Linked DNA regions of Drosophila melanogaster. The gene in region 2 interacts genetically with the main gene of each other region. Each region holds a gene or a part of one and is shown on either strand. Other genes may lie near its edges.

Evidence for each region. A genetic interaction does not mean that the proteins touch.
Region 1: of jing (region 2) and trh, changing one enhances a phenotype caused by changing the other (phenotypic enhancement), as found in Drosophila melanogaster (one study listed by BioGRID).

What each region holds. Positions count from the first base shown.
Region 1 is NT_037436.4:389,634-396,249, forward strand, and holds the start of trh (trachealess), read right to left. Parts: upstream 3,001-6,616; 5' UTR 2,476-3,000; exon of another isoform or gene 2,373-2,475; intron 2,161-2,372; 5' UTR 2,128-2,160; coding exon 1,853-2,127; intron 1-1,852. UniProt on the Drosophila melanogaster protein: Transcription factor, master regulator of tracheal cell fates in the embryo, necessary for the development of the salivary gland duct, Malpighian tubules and the posterior spiracles.
Region 2 is NT_033778.4:6,498,400-6,506,990, reverse strand, and holds the start of jing (jing), read right to left. Parts: upstream 4,986-8,591; 5' UTR 3,953-4,985; coding exon 3,303-3,952; intron 1-3,302.

The DNA.
Region 1 (6,616 bases), on a different chromosome or scaffold from region 2:
CCCTTTGCCGCCCGTGAAGGCGCTGGAAATTCCCCCTGGAAATTCCCCTTCCAATATACAAAGCAACAAAGTTGTCGGCTGTAATGAAAAACAAACGTCCCAGCAATTTTCCAGTTAGGTCAAAACTCTTTTTGTCTCACTCGTTTTTAGTTATCGTGGCCCCTCCCCCGTGGCCATCCATTTTTCCCAGTGTAATGTAACTTTAACGAATTGAGGCATAAGCAAAAATAAAAAAGTGAAAAATAAAATGAAAATAATGGGAAAAAGACCAAAATGAAATTGAGGCAGAGTCATCAGAGGCAGCCCATCGCAGGTTGGCGAGGGGAAACAATCACAGTTTAGATTTCAGCAGGGAACCCTTTTCCCGCCGCGCTGGTTGTGCTTTTAATATTACTTCGCGGCCCTCTCTTCGCGTCTTCGTCAATATTCGCCAAGGTAATAACTCAGGTGATTATAGTAATTATGCGTTCTGACGCGATCCAGCCACGGATAACGCTATTCCGATATAATTGAAAAATGCTGATAGACGCTGATTGTGTGAGCCGAGAAGTTGGAGTGGCGGAGTCGGGAGTTCAGAGTCGGAGTTAAAGTTGCAGTCCCAGTTGAAGCTTAAGTTCGGAACATGAAGGCCTATGTGTGCCTTAGAGATGTGCGTGAGCAGCTTACCGATAGGCAAGAAAGTGAGTCACGAGACTCACGACCCTTGGCACAGCTATACAATACTATACTACAATACTTTTAATATTTAAGCTATTCTGGTTTTCTCGAATGTCTCCATATCCTTCTAACGTAGCATATTTATTAAATCTTTCGCTCCGGACTATCAATTCAAAAGGCCCTGTGGCCCATCTCTAGCCATCCCAAGTCCCAAAACCCCAGACACTGGTAGTCAAAGCTGCTGTGCCCGCATCTGGAACTCCTCGAGCCTCAATCCTCAATCTTAACTACAAACTCGACTCTTTCGGCGGGGCCACCAATCAGAGTTCATGAATTACATCGCCATTGCAATATTGTTGTGGGAATGTCTAAAAGAGGTCTCGGCTTAAGACAGAGCCCGGATTGCCACTTCTGCTTCATGGCTATTGCGGCGAAATGTTCTTTGATGCCGATTTCATTTTTCGATATTGAAAATAACCATGCATTACGGAGGAGGCTTATGTACTGGGAGTGGGAAAAGTGAAAGATGGAGGGAGCTGCCCAACTTATCTCGTGACAATCGCCCGACTTCGTGAGGCGTTCATCGCTCGCTTTTCGGTGGCCTGGCGAGTGAGTGTCGAAAGTGTTATTGTCACGTAAATTCAATTAGTTTAATTATGAGTTTCATCGATGTTGGCACCTCTGTAGTGCTCTGCCTGCACTTCATAACTGAAAAATTTTAATTTTCGGACATTTAATTTTTTTTTTTGGCGAAAGCTACTTTTGGGGGGGGGGCACACTTCGTGGTGGGTATGAGGTGACAAGGTGTCAGACATGCTGGGGTCAAAAATGGATATTTCAGGATTGTGAGACATATTTTCACATACGAATAAAAACTGATTAAGGAGGTGTACCTTGTCAGTTCCTTTAAGTCACAATTTTTTTTTACCTAGAACCTCAGTTATGAGCGAGCAATCGCCTAACTTCCACCCCAAAAAGGAAGTGGAATAATTTCTCCCTGTTAGTGGGCAGTTCCATCAATTGTCTCAGCATCTCCGCATCTCAGCCCATTGGATATCAGGTGGACACTTTTCCGCCATTGGCAACGCCCCCAAAATTTGCATGCAAACTCCAGCGAAAGAGAAACCAATAGAGTGTGCGAATGGAAGGGAAATATTGGTGCAGTGTGAAGTGGTTCTGGTTTCGTTTAATTTACCTGTAGTAGGGGAATCCCTGCGGCACATGCAGATCCATCGGCATCCCTCCGGCGGTTCCCAGGTGCGGATGGTGGTGCGGATGCGAGTGCGGATGTGGGTGTGGATGCGAGTGCGAGTGGTGGTGGTGATGCGAGTGTATAGGATGGTGCATCGAGTGGTTCTGGACATGCGCCGCAGCAGCCGCAGCGGCGAACCCGGCATCGGAGGCCATCGAGTGGTGTCCCAGAACGGCGGCCCATGGCGAAGCCACGAACCCACTGCCGTGATGCTCCATTTCTAGGAGTTCCTCTCTATCTATATATTATGACTACACGCAGGTTTATTAGGGTGAGTCCGGTTTTCATAGACACGGAATCGTAGGTGTGGAAAGAAAGCTTTGCATTAATATATCTATATGATGGCAGTATGGTCTGGCCAATAAAGTATCGTTCTAAAAATGTAATAAGATAATTGGAACAAAATTCTGTTCTGTTAATTCTTGTGACTTTTAATAGTTTTTTTTTTTTTTTTTTTTTTTTTAATTAAATTTTAAACAAATCAATTGGATTAAAGTTATGCCGATAGAATTCTTTCCGCCCCTGCGATTGATCTCTCATTCGTCCTACTATGGAACTTGACCCACCCTGATGCGAGACTATTTATTTTCGGCGATAGCTTTTCAGCTATTTATCTTTGATTTGATGTGGTCACACGCACTCTCACAGAGACACAAACACTTGCGGATTATATAGACATATTTGCACATTCCGTTTGGGCCAAGATGGCGGCCATTATTTACCGTTAACGCGCATGGCCGTTTTAGGGGGGAGTTTTCGGGAGGTGGCTCGGCTCAGCTTAGCTCAGCCCCTCAAAATCATCCTTGTCCCTACCAAAAAGAACCGACGGCAGCCAAAAAAGAGCTGATGCAAACAAAAAACAAGTGAACGGTGGCTGAACGTCGAGGAAGGACGACCAAGTCACAACGTCAACCTTGAATTAGGGGTGTCGCTAGCCGTTGGGTGTACGGATTCGGGTTACACGGAGGCGAGATACTACGGGTACGATAGGGAGCCGGAGCTGGGCTCTCTCGCATCTGGGCAGTGCTTTTCCTTTCGCACGTTTTTGGTCCGCGTTCACCTCTGCACGGCACGAAAATTGGCGATAAACTATCGCCTCGCCTCGCATCAGGAAACATGGTCGGTCGCCTCGGTCGTTTGGTCGGTTGGTCGGTTGGCTGGCTGGTTGGAGGTGGTTGGATGGTTGGATGGCTGGATGTTGTTGGTCCGAACTCAAGAGCATCGTCATCATCGTCATCTCATCTGCGCTGCATCTGCGAAACTTGGAGCGGCGCATTGCAAGCTGCAAATGGTGGTGGAGCAGGTTTTCGTATGGGAGAGTCGCCGCCACACAGATACAGACCCACTCACTAATGTGGTGTGGTCCTCTCCAGCATACAGCATCCACACATCATATTGTTGTATATATCATGTTCTTGTTTTGCCTCCGCCTCGGTCTCGGGGTCTCTCCCTCTCTCTAGAGAGTCGTGAACACCTGAGTTCTCTTCCTCGCTCGGGGCATTCTCTGGAGAATTCGGTGGAGCAACTCTCAACACGCCAGCGGTGATATTGTGTTCTGTGTTGTGGATGGTGTGTGATGTTGTTGAGGGCGAGATAAGACGGTCTACTGGGGGAGTCATTTGCTCCCATTATGGGGAGGCCCATTTCTGAATCGACTGAAGCACATAAAGGAAAATTTAGGATTTGAAATGGGAATTTGAAGGATAGGTCAGGAATATTGAGAAAGTATATTGAATAATGGCTTGCGCCAAATAAAATACTTTATAATTCAGACATATCTAAGTCATCAATTTTAGTAAAGACGTTCATAAGTTCGTTCTATCTAGTTCTTCGTTCAGCAATTGCATTACAATTGATGTCCACTATAAATTGTAACCATAAAACTTCGTTGTATAAGGAACAATGAACATGTCTGCCATATCTGCCCATTCCACCAACCTGACCTGTTCCCACAAAACATTTATGATTATTTCCATTGCATTATTTCCATTCTCATTCTCATAGTCATTTCCCCAGATGGCGGAAACGGAGGACTTAGAAGAGGAAGGGCTGACAACTTAGTTAAATAAGGCGCCACCTGTCAAGTGATTTTCAATAAAATAAATTCGTGATTACACGACAATATCGAAACGAAAAATCCAAGAGATCAGCACAACAATAACAAAAGACTCCCACGGGGAATGCTGCTGCCCGTTTGGCCTCCAGTCCTCCCCCACTCCCAACTCCCCAGTTCTACCTTCCTGGCCCATCACACACGACTTGGACTTCAGGTTGCGAATCCTTGGCACACACTCACATCCCCAAGCAAACGGAGCCTCCACTTCTGAATCGCAGTCGTGCAGGGTCAACGTCAATACTGAATGTTGTCGCCGTTCCAACTGTCCGTCCAACGGAGCGTCCGTCTGTCGTTGAGTCCGTCCGTCTGTCTGTCTCGGTGTCTTGGCTTGTTTACAGTGTGCAAAAATCATTTAGACAAGTTGACAAAAGCTCGTTTGGAACGTGAGTAACATGAGTTGGACCCGAGACTGGAGATTCGAACTGGGGACTCGAGACCTGAGACTGCTGCCTTGGCTGCCTTCGGAATTGGTTCTGCCCGTCCGCCGGTTGCCGTTTTCTGCGGTTATTTGGGCTTTTGGAGCTTCTCAAGTATCTGAGGTCTTAATTCTAAACATGGCAAATGTGCCTAGAGCGTGCTGCTCAGCTGCTGCTTTGTTTCTTTGCTTCTATAATACTTTGGCCTGCGGCGGCGAATAAAATAAAATGAGGCCTTGCCCCAGCCGACTGACCTTTGGCTGTAATGAAAATGCTATCCCAGTTAAGAATGTTGTGAATGTGCCAGCCTATACTGGGCTTAATGGTGGGTGTGATAACAATGATTGCAGAAGAGTCTTGAGTTGGGGAACTGAAATGAGATGAAAATATTGTATATGGTCAAAAAATCACGTAACCTGCAAAAAAGAACACGAAACATTTGATCCATCTACCATGGATAGCAATCAGACAAATATAACTATAATAAATATATATAAACATATTTTGCTTCGTACTTGTTTGTTTCACTTGAACCCAACACGAAGTAAGATTTAATGACCCGACCGCGAAGAAAGTGCAAAACTCATAAAAAAAAAGTGCGAGTCACGAATTTGCCATGTAATTGCCTTATATAAGACCTCGTACATATATGACCATGTACCTGTCAGGATATCGACAGAGGCTTCAAGTCGGGAATATGTGCTAAAAAGTACACAAAACTTGAGCCGGAGATGGAGGTGGAGCACACTTGCCGTCGTCCTGCGGCACGTGATGTGCATAAGAGAATGAGCCAGGATGCCAGGATACGCCGAGCATTTTCGTCAGGATTACAATTCTCACTCTTGGTAGAAATCCCCTGGAATGAGTATTGATTTTTTCGGGCGAAAGTTTAATGAAACTTCTAGTGATTCTAACTTGTAAAGTTTAAAGTAGAAACTATGCATCGATTGATTTATACCCTTGGCTTGACAGGTTTATCAGCCGATCGGGGAATGTGGCAAAGACCTTCTGGGTCTGGGGCGGATCGTATCGGATCCGTTTGATTGATTCGCTGAAAGTGCGACGAATGGAAATTACGAAAATCCAAGCAAAACAAACAAATAAATCGAGGCGAGCGATCCACACTGATCCACCGATCCACCGATCCAAACGGTTTTGAGGGGTACGTGTTCGTCATATTAAAGGCCAGCTTTAACTGAGGGTTGGGCTTGGGATTACACTCGGAAAAACGTTAGAAATATATAGAAAATAGAAATAGAAATATATCAATACCAATTGAGATTTTGGATTCCTTAATTGAATAATATTAGCAAGTGAAAAAGAGAAGGGATTTGGGAACATTGAGAAGTACCTCAAAGTCTATAAATATTGAAGCATGCTTGAATTAAAGATAGTTTTTAAAAGTGCATGTATGACTATAGCTTAAACCTACAAATTGTTGTGAACGCAGGTTTGTTTTTCGATGCCTCTCTTATTTTGGCAGTTGCTGCCGTGCATTTAAATAGCACACCTGCTGAAGACCCTGGGACTCCACCAATTTCGTAGAATTTGTCGATATTTATGAGCCTCTGTTGCCGACCTGTGATTTCTTGGATTTGCATAACTGGGTCTCGGTACATCCCGTACATGCTTAATTTCTCCAAAATGAAAAAAAAAAAAAAATGGCCACAAATGAAACAACTTTCGACGCCCCCGATTTTGGAGAAAGAGCAGAGGGGCCAAATCCATCTTGGTCACTTTTAGGGGATGATATCCGCCGGCGGAAGTGGCAAAGTCGAAAGGGAAGCCGACTTGGAGATGGAGTTTCTTTGATATTGATTTTTCCGGGACGCACTCTCATCTGGAAGACGTGACTGGAATGGTCAGTTCCCCTTCGCTTTTCCTACCCAACTGGGACTTCATCTTGAGTCTGCACTGTATGCAAAAGTCGCACCTGGAACGTGTGAACAGTTTTTAGCAATTAACTGACAACTGATGATGGCAAGCCCAGGAAGAGGAGGCTGTCCCCCACCCCTTCCTCCCGTTTCCAGTAGCATGCGGCAAGCGGCATGCGGCACGCGGCGTCATGCAGTCTGGCCTGGCTGAAAAGGATGGAAGGGGACTGGAGCGGCGTGCCCCAAACATTCATCCTAATTGGCGTTCAATCTCCGGCTGCCTTCGATTTGCATGCACACG
Region 2 (8,591 bases):
CAGCGGAATGCAGCACGCAAGTGGAAAACAAAAACGAAAAGGGAAGACAGCAGGAGGACAGCAGCGACAAGGACAGAATGTAAGAGGAGAAAAGGGGGTTCGCATATATATGTACAAACAAGCAGAAGACCGGGAATCCCGCCAGAGAACCAACACGCGAAAGACTGCAGCAGTCGTATACAAAATCTGCCAAGAAAACACTAAAGCATCAAAACACAGTGTACACTTATAAAAAAAACACGCGATTTCTAAAGACGATTGCCTCGAATAACATATACCTGTGGGTATATGTTACATGCAAATAGCAGAGCGACCAAAACGTATTTTGATTTATGTTCAAAAGGTTTTTCATTCAACCAACACTACATGTTTACGGTACTTCATTTTCTTCCACTTACTCATCGAGTCTTTTTCGGCTTTTCAGTTGCAAGACAACGAACTTTATCTTCAGCCTAATCTCCTAGCGTCAATACAGTGGATATGGCCGACATTTAAAGAACGAATTGGTACACGAACTTTATATTTGCAACTGGCACTGAACATAAATTTCAATTTAAAAATTTCAAACAGACATGGACTATATGTTTATTTCCTTACCGATGCGAAAGTAAGGAACAGATGTTATTTTAATATTTATGAAATCTGCTAAAGGTATCTATACATATGTCAACCTCCTGGAAAGAACATTTCTTTGTCAGTCTATGAAAGAGTCAGTATTACGATGAATCAAGATTGCTTTCCCGATTACCGCCCACTAAGCGGTAGTTTCAAGCGACTTATATTTTTATAAGTTTATATTTCGGAAATCGAGCGCGTTTACCATCATCAAAACAACAACCCTCACAACTTGCCAGGCTCAAATTGATAAAAGGCCAAAAAGGAGCTTGCAAGTGGTTATGCCAAGACATGGCAAATAGCATCGGAAGCACGACCTCTCTGAGTGCACGACCCGCGGCAACAAACGGAGATACACACACTGGCAATTGCAACTTATTATATTACACTTTCGATGTCATCGCGCGATGTTGCCGCTGTCATTGCAACTGCAATTGCTGATGCTGTTGCTGTTGCAGTGCTGCCGTTTCGGAGTCACTTAAACGAGATAAATCAACGTGGGCGATTACACAATATCTCAGGGTGATTGTCGTCCCCTGCCACCCGCTGACCGCCTTGCATGACTTGGCGAAAAGTGCAACAGCAACAGCAACAGCAAGAGCACCAGCAACAGCCCACAATCAGCAAAGCAAAGCAAAAGCAAAGGCATGGGCAAAGACTCGCGCCATTGGAGCAGTGGGTCGCTCTCGGGGTCTCGTGGAAATATGTGGAAAAACGTGGAAAACCTGTAAGACCAAAGTCGACAAAATCAATAGCACACACACACACTCGCTCAGTCCGGCGACACTGCAAAAAGCAAAGACGACGCCAGCAGTTGCAGCAGCCAACAATTGCGTTGCTGAAGTAGGCAGTTACTCTTGCAGTTGTGTTTCAGCTTTATGAGCGACAATTAAAGTTAAATGCCTCCGCTTCGAAGCTGCGGATGTTACTCGCTGGTTATACTCAAATGCATACGTGCACATGTTTTGGTTTTTGTTTTGCTTTTCGAAAATAAATACATTTTAATGACTACGCTCAGTGGAAGTGGGATTGTTTTTTGTGGTTTAGGAACACGTTAAAATGAGCCAGCCAACGAGAGAGTTTAGTTTAAAAAATCAGCATTTTGACAAGATTCAAATTTTAGGCGCACAGCTCTGGAAAGATTCAGTGCAAAGATTCGGACAAAACGTAACGAAATCGAAATAAAAACCGAGCCAAACACAAAGCTACAACAAAATGCAGTGCTTTTTGGCGGCGACAAAAAAGTACACACACACAAAAACCAAAAAGGGAAGAAAAACAGAAACAGAAACAAACAAAATAAATAAATCAAAAGGAGTTCAACGACCAAAAGTTTAAATGATTTCCGACTGCCAACGAAGAGAAAGAAGCAACGCCGAAATCGCTCACCAGTCAACGAGGGAACGCGATCTTGGGGAGGTGATACGAGGACGGTGATAAGGCCAAGCCAATTGACAAAACGCTCCCCACAAAACATTTGAAACATGCTGCTGCGAAACCAGACACAAATGCCACATTGGCGTTTAGAAGATATGTATGGAATCAGAACCATTTCTGAAAACCGAAACATAACTTAAACATAATCGACAATTGTGCAGCAGATCGGCAGAGAGCACCGTCCATATTCAAGATTAATTTCCCCGAGGGGGTGGTTTCGGTTTCGGACTCGTATCTGCATCTATATCTACATCGATGCAGCCAGGAAGCTGTTTTCGTTTGCTCAACCGCCCACGCGCCGCATGGAAAATCAGCAGCTCTGCTACTGCGGCGCATCAGCCGCCATTTGCGGCTGATAAATGAACGCATGTTGTGCGTATCTGCCAGATACAAATGCCTGCAGTTCGTTGCGGCCTTTGCTCTTCCTTTGTTTCCATTCCACTGCTGCCTCTACTGTGCTGCGCATTTTTAATGAGCGGAAATTAGTTGGCATTGCGGCAAGAGGTTTTGTGGCTGCCCATTTGAGTAGATACAAATGTATCTGTAAGCCATAAATTTGCAATCTATGAGGCACGTGCCTCGTAGGCCCCTTACAAGACTGGCACTTTGCTGTTCTGTACAATTATCGGAACGATTACCTGTCAGATAAATTCAGCTCAATCGGCTATTAGCTTTTTCCAGATCTCGCTGAGCATTGCAGATTTGGTTCATACGTTTATCATGATTGGGATGGGCTGCATTCTATTTGTGTCTTACGGATCACACTTTTGGATCACTTTTTGGCAGTACAGCGCGCGTGTATATTTAGAGAATTTTCTTTGGCTCAGACTTGGCACAGCCAGCCGGTTCGCAGATACACTTTTGCATTTCCCTTTATAGTTAGGCAGTGCATCTAAGAAATACATTTGGCAGCTTGCATTGTTAAGACGCTTAATGATGCCATTAAATACGTCGATGAAAAGGGGACGGGGTAAGCTGCTATTGAATGTCTTTATGGCGTATACTAAAGGTGTTTATGCAAAAAGTTTATTTTTTATTATTGTTAAATAAGTCTTATTGTGTTCCTTAAAAATTTTAAGTTTTCAATATATTTCATAAATTAGATACGACCATCGTGCCTGCCTTTGCATTTAAATAAACCTCAAAAAATCTCAAATTACGACTAGAATTTAGAACTGTCGAAGAGCAACGTACTTCCCTATCGCTGCAAAATGCCAAACTTCAGTAGTGTGCCCACGACATGCACTCACCTGTCTGATGACTCCGACGAGTCGTACCGATCTAGACATCTCTTCTTGGACCCCTTTGTGCCACGTTCTCCTCCAGTTGTTCTTGGGGCTGTTGCCACCGTTGTTGTTTTGCCGACTCCCACTCGAGATGTTGTTGCAGTCTTCCTGGCGCCCTGGTAGAGCTGAGATCGCAATGCGTTTATATCCAATTTGGCGGCTTGGGCTCCAAACCCGCCAAAAACTCCGCCCACCCCCCGTTTGGTACCCTGCACGATTCCAATAGTGCTGGGCGAGGTAAAGGGCCGAGCGGGTTTGGCCGGGGGCTTCAGTTCAATATTGGAGGACAGAGACGGGCTTTTGTTGATGGGTGGTGTGGGTGGTGGGCTTTTGGGAGTAAGTATCGGGGAGGCGGTGGTTGTACTGGCTGGTGCTGTTATAGGTGGTGTGGCTTCTGGGCTACTGTTGTTGCCGACGCCGGCGCCAATTGTCAAACTGTTTGTATTGACGCTATTTTTCAGCTGATCAAACAGTGACAAAGCCGCGCTGGAGGTTAAAGTTTTCCGTCCCGTTGCTCCTGCTGTTTTGACAGAGAGTGGGGCCAGAGGGGCTGCTACTTCAGCTGCCGACTCCTTGGTCTTTAATGCCGTATCCTTTGGCTGAGTGACTGACATTTTCCCTCTATGTTTGCTGCACTATTGCTATAACGACGCTTTTAATTGGTGTTAACTGCTGCCAGAACTCTGGATCTGCTTTAGCACACATCTGCTATTCCCAACGGCTTATTGTTAGTCGACGGAAAGCCAATTTGAATTGCATTAATCTGAAAGTTGCTCGTCAGCAATTTTTAGCCGCACTGCCCTTAAATGGTGTTACCATTCCGATTTTCCCCATCAGTTTGCACAAATTGGTATATATATATCGCCATGAACTTGCATTTTACGACTTTCGTGGGTCGGACTATCGAGTTACGAGAAGTAAAAATATTTATACAAATTAAACAAAAATTCATTTAAATCAATTGCACTTGTATGACTTTTGGCATTAAGCTGCACTTCACTTCTGCACTTATGACACACATTTTTCAATTCGATTGATATTTCAACGAGAAACTACTTGATCATCATAAAATTAATCGACGTCGCGGGTTCGGTTTTGATTTGCGTGGGGTGGTTGGATTTGCGATCCGTTACAAAGTGTTACACTGTGCTTTATGGATTTGTGAATGGCCAGTAGTTATTTCACTGTCGGTTGTTTCCGGTGCACACCCGAAATTCATTCTGCAAGATTGGCCACGCGGTGCTCGCAAGTTCAAGAAAGCGACAATGAAACCGAATTCAAAACCGAAACGGGTAAGTCAGGTTAACCTCCTAGTCGCTGTGACTGCGAGCCAGCTTTTGTTTATTGACAACAATGACGGGCGAACAAACACATCGCAATCTAATCAAATGCATTCCAATGTGCCTCAGCAAACTAGCGATTTACTTATCGCGGGGCCAACTTGTCTGCCGCGCGTACCATTCATAATTAATGTAGTGGTCACTGCTCTTAATAGCCGCCAATTGCAGTATAACCAAATTAAACAAAGTCTAAGAAGCGCTGCACTGCAAGCTAAGAATTCCGAAACGCCATCGATTGGCAAGCGAAAAACTGCGATCTCCCCACGAAAAAGCTGCGGGCTGCTCTTGCTCTGCCTGCCGACTGACTGACGAGTGGGGCCAAGTGGAGTGGGAGTGGACCGAGCGCTGCGGCCCCACCCGAAGAGGTAGCCGACGAGAAGCGAGGCGGCGGACCGAGTGCCAGCCGAATGGCTTAGCCAACTAGAACCGGGCACAAATCAAGATACGAAGCACGCGAAGCAAGAACGAAGGCAACGAACTGCCGTTCGTTTTAATAGGGGCTCTCCGACGAGCTGAGGGTGAAGAGGAGAAGAAAGGGCCGCGTGCAGTGTGTTCACTTTTGATTTCTGTGCAGCGGCAGCAGGTTTTCGAGAGCGGGACCAAGAGAGAGGGTCGCGTGGGGAGCTTGTTGCGCTACAATGTGAGTTCTTTCTGTGTGTGTGAGTGTGTGCATTTGAACTTCTGGGGAAGTTCAGAGATTCCGTATTTGAATTTCAGCATTTGGCGGCTGGCTAGATGGGCAGCAACTTCCGATGTGTCCGCGGTGGCAAGTTCGCTCACACACAAGCGACCCAAGCTGCAGCTACCTGTTGATATGTGTGGGAACTAATCAGAATACAAGAGGTTCCTGCGGTTCGATAAAACTCAAAACCGGTTCATCCAAGCGAGCATGGTTATATGGGAACTTGAGCTCGAATTTGAAGCTAAATACAGATGTGTGGAGAATATGCACCCATAACCAATACCTTGGCTATATGTATCTGTTTTGGCCCACACTTAATAAGGCCAAAAAAGTCAAGAACAAAAACAAAAAAAACACGAGTCTTGTATAAAAAAAGATAAAAGTAAACAAAGTTATGGCAAAAACCAAACAATAACAAAACAGCAAGGCAGCCAGACCAGCTCTCTCACAAACACAATCTAAAGTCGCAACTGTTTTTAAAGACCAAAGAAAGGGAGGGAGCGAGGAATCAAACACAACACGTGCTTTTATTACGCTACAAGCAATGGTACGTACGTCTGTGCGATGCAACTGAGGGAGACTGCAAAAACAGGAGGGACAAAGAAGACATGTTTACGCGAGAATTTTGCGGGTGTGTGCGAGTGCGACAAAACTCGTTTGGTGTCCAGTTTTACTCTACCAATAAAATGTTTGTTCCTATTGAACGTTTTACACTGCACATACTTGGGATCACTTTAATTAAGTGAATGAATTCATTTCCGAGGAATGCATCTAATACAATCAAAATGTTTTAGCTCACAAAAGCTCTGCAAAAAATAGCTCACTCAACCATTGTAAATGCAAAAATACACTGCGTAAGAGTGACAAGTTAAATAAGTTTATAAGCTTGCGTTCGCATTTTGCGCTGCATTTTCCGGAAAGCTATTAAACTGCAGCAAACGGAGAGAGAGAGTGAAAATAGGATTGAGACAATTGAGAGAAAAACAACCATAATGCTGCATTCATACTTCGCTGAATATTTTTGTAGATGCATATACATATGTGTAGATAATATTAAATTAAATTATTAAATATAAAAATAAAATATAATCAAACATTTCCTCAATAAAATATCTAAGCTGGCAATTATACTGGAGCCCATCACAATTAAAAAAAAATTATGGGTCTTTTAAATGCTCTCAGTGTAAAGCTCAGATTGCCACAGCATACAGCTTTTGTCAGCGATTACGTCCAAATAAACAGTTATGCCTTTTCAGTATTTTTATAGATAATTCCAAAATTACATAAGTGGGCATGTAAACTAAGTAAGGAATCAAACCAGTTTAAAATTGATAGCGAACTGCATGATGTTCCTTGACCATCAACGGGAAAATTGGTTAACCAACGCAAAGTCAGTTTAATTACGATAAAAAAATAGACTCATAAATAATCACATATCTAAAACTTCCGAACGCATAAACGAAGACAGAAACCTTTATGTTAAATAAATTTTTCACATCAACTCCATGCTAAATATTTTCCGTTCGACTCCAATTTAATGTGTATTAATACGACTTTAAAAAAGGTTTTCCGCACGTTTGAAAAGGCATTTAAAAAGCTTATTTATTTAAAATGTTTAGCTGCATGGATTGATCAAACAAGAAAAAGAAAAATTTGATTACATATTTTTCATTTTTAATTTATTGATCTTAATTTATTTTTCCATATCGTTTAACACTATGTGCTCACCATAAAATGTGGAGAAACTTTTTAAAGCATAACAACATATTTCTTTATATACTTTTTATGTCTCAGGGTGTATTTTTTACCTTTTTATTTTAAATCAAAGACTTTCAAGAAATGTTTCATTTTTTTTAAAGGTTATTGTTAAAAAAGCCAATTTAGATTCTTCTCGGAAATGCGTGGGCAAGGATGTAAAAATCTGTGAATAGTGAAGGGGAAATTGTACTTATGGATTCCTTTACATTATTATTTAATAAAAAAAAAGAAAATTGATATTGGGATCAATTTTTATTAGCGGTAACAGTGACCGAATAATATTTATGATTAATATTATTAAGAATAAGAATATATATTAATATATATTAAGAATAAGAATATATGTTAATATATATTAAGAATAAGAATATATATTAATATATATTAGAAATATGAGGAAGGAAAAATATAATTAACGTATACTAAAGTAAATATGAATATAAATAAGAAATATGAAATATAAGAAATATATAATTAACGTATACTAAATTAAATATAAATATAAATAAGAAATATGAAATAAGTATAGAACTAAGCGAAGAATATGAAGGAGGAAAAGTAACGATGAAATAATAAAAAGGAATCAAAATACAATTCGATCGCCGACGTGTGAAGACGTTTTTATCGTGCTCCGCACAAAATCGGTTGTTTTGAGTGAAGTGAACGCCAAATAAAATAAACTAAATAAAAAATCTGAAAGCGAAAGAGACGCTCTATGCGATGCAAGATCGCTTAAATACATAGTGAATTGTTATCTTAAATAATAAAACTATGAGTCAGAATGACACTCGCGCCCAGCGTCAGCGCGAGCATGACGAACGCCGACTCTCAATTCAGCGCAACAACGCGTACTTCTCCTACGTCTCACCGACAATCCCAAACGCAGACATCGAGCGGTCAATAACCCATAGCCCAGGAAACCTTCTTCTACCAACAAATCAAGAAAGAGCCCGCTCCTGCTCTCCCGCTCTATTGGCTCCGACAGAAGCCCCGCTACCTCCAACAACAACAGCTGGAGAGGGACCGGCAGCCCGCTCTGCCTCGTCATCGGCTGCACCCGCTCACGGTCTGACTAAGTCAGCGAAAGCAAAACCGCTAGCAATAAACGGTACTGCTGCACTGCCAGCAAAACAAAACGAAAACGTAAACAAAAAAGCTGGGTCGACCTGGCAGACTGGAATGGACCGCTACATTACAATAAAGCGAAAGCTCAGCCCGGAAAATTCAGATTTGGGAAACAAGCCGAAAAATACACGCGACAACTCTACCTTGATCAAAAATGTAGCCCCTGCAAATACCAACAGATTTGCCTTGCTGGTAGATACCGCTGAGGACGTGCCGCTGGGATCCGTTGATATCGAACCGAAGAAAACAAAGCCTCCGCCAATATACATCCGCGAGAGGAGCACAAGCCGTCTTGTAAATACTTTGATTGGCCTTATTGGGAAAGATAGCTTTCATATAATTCCCCTC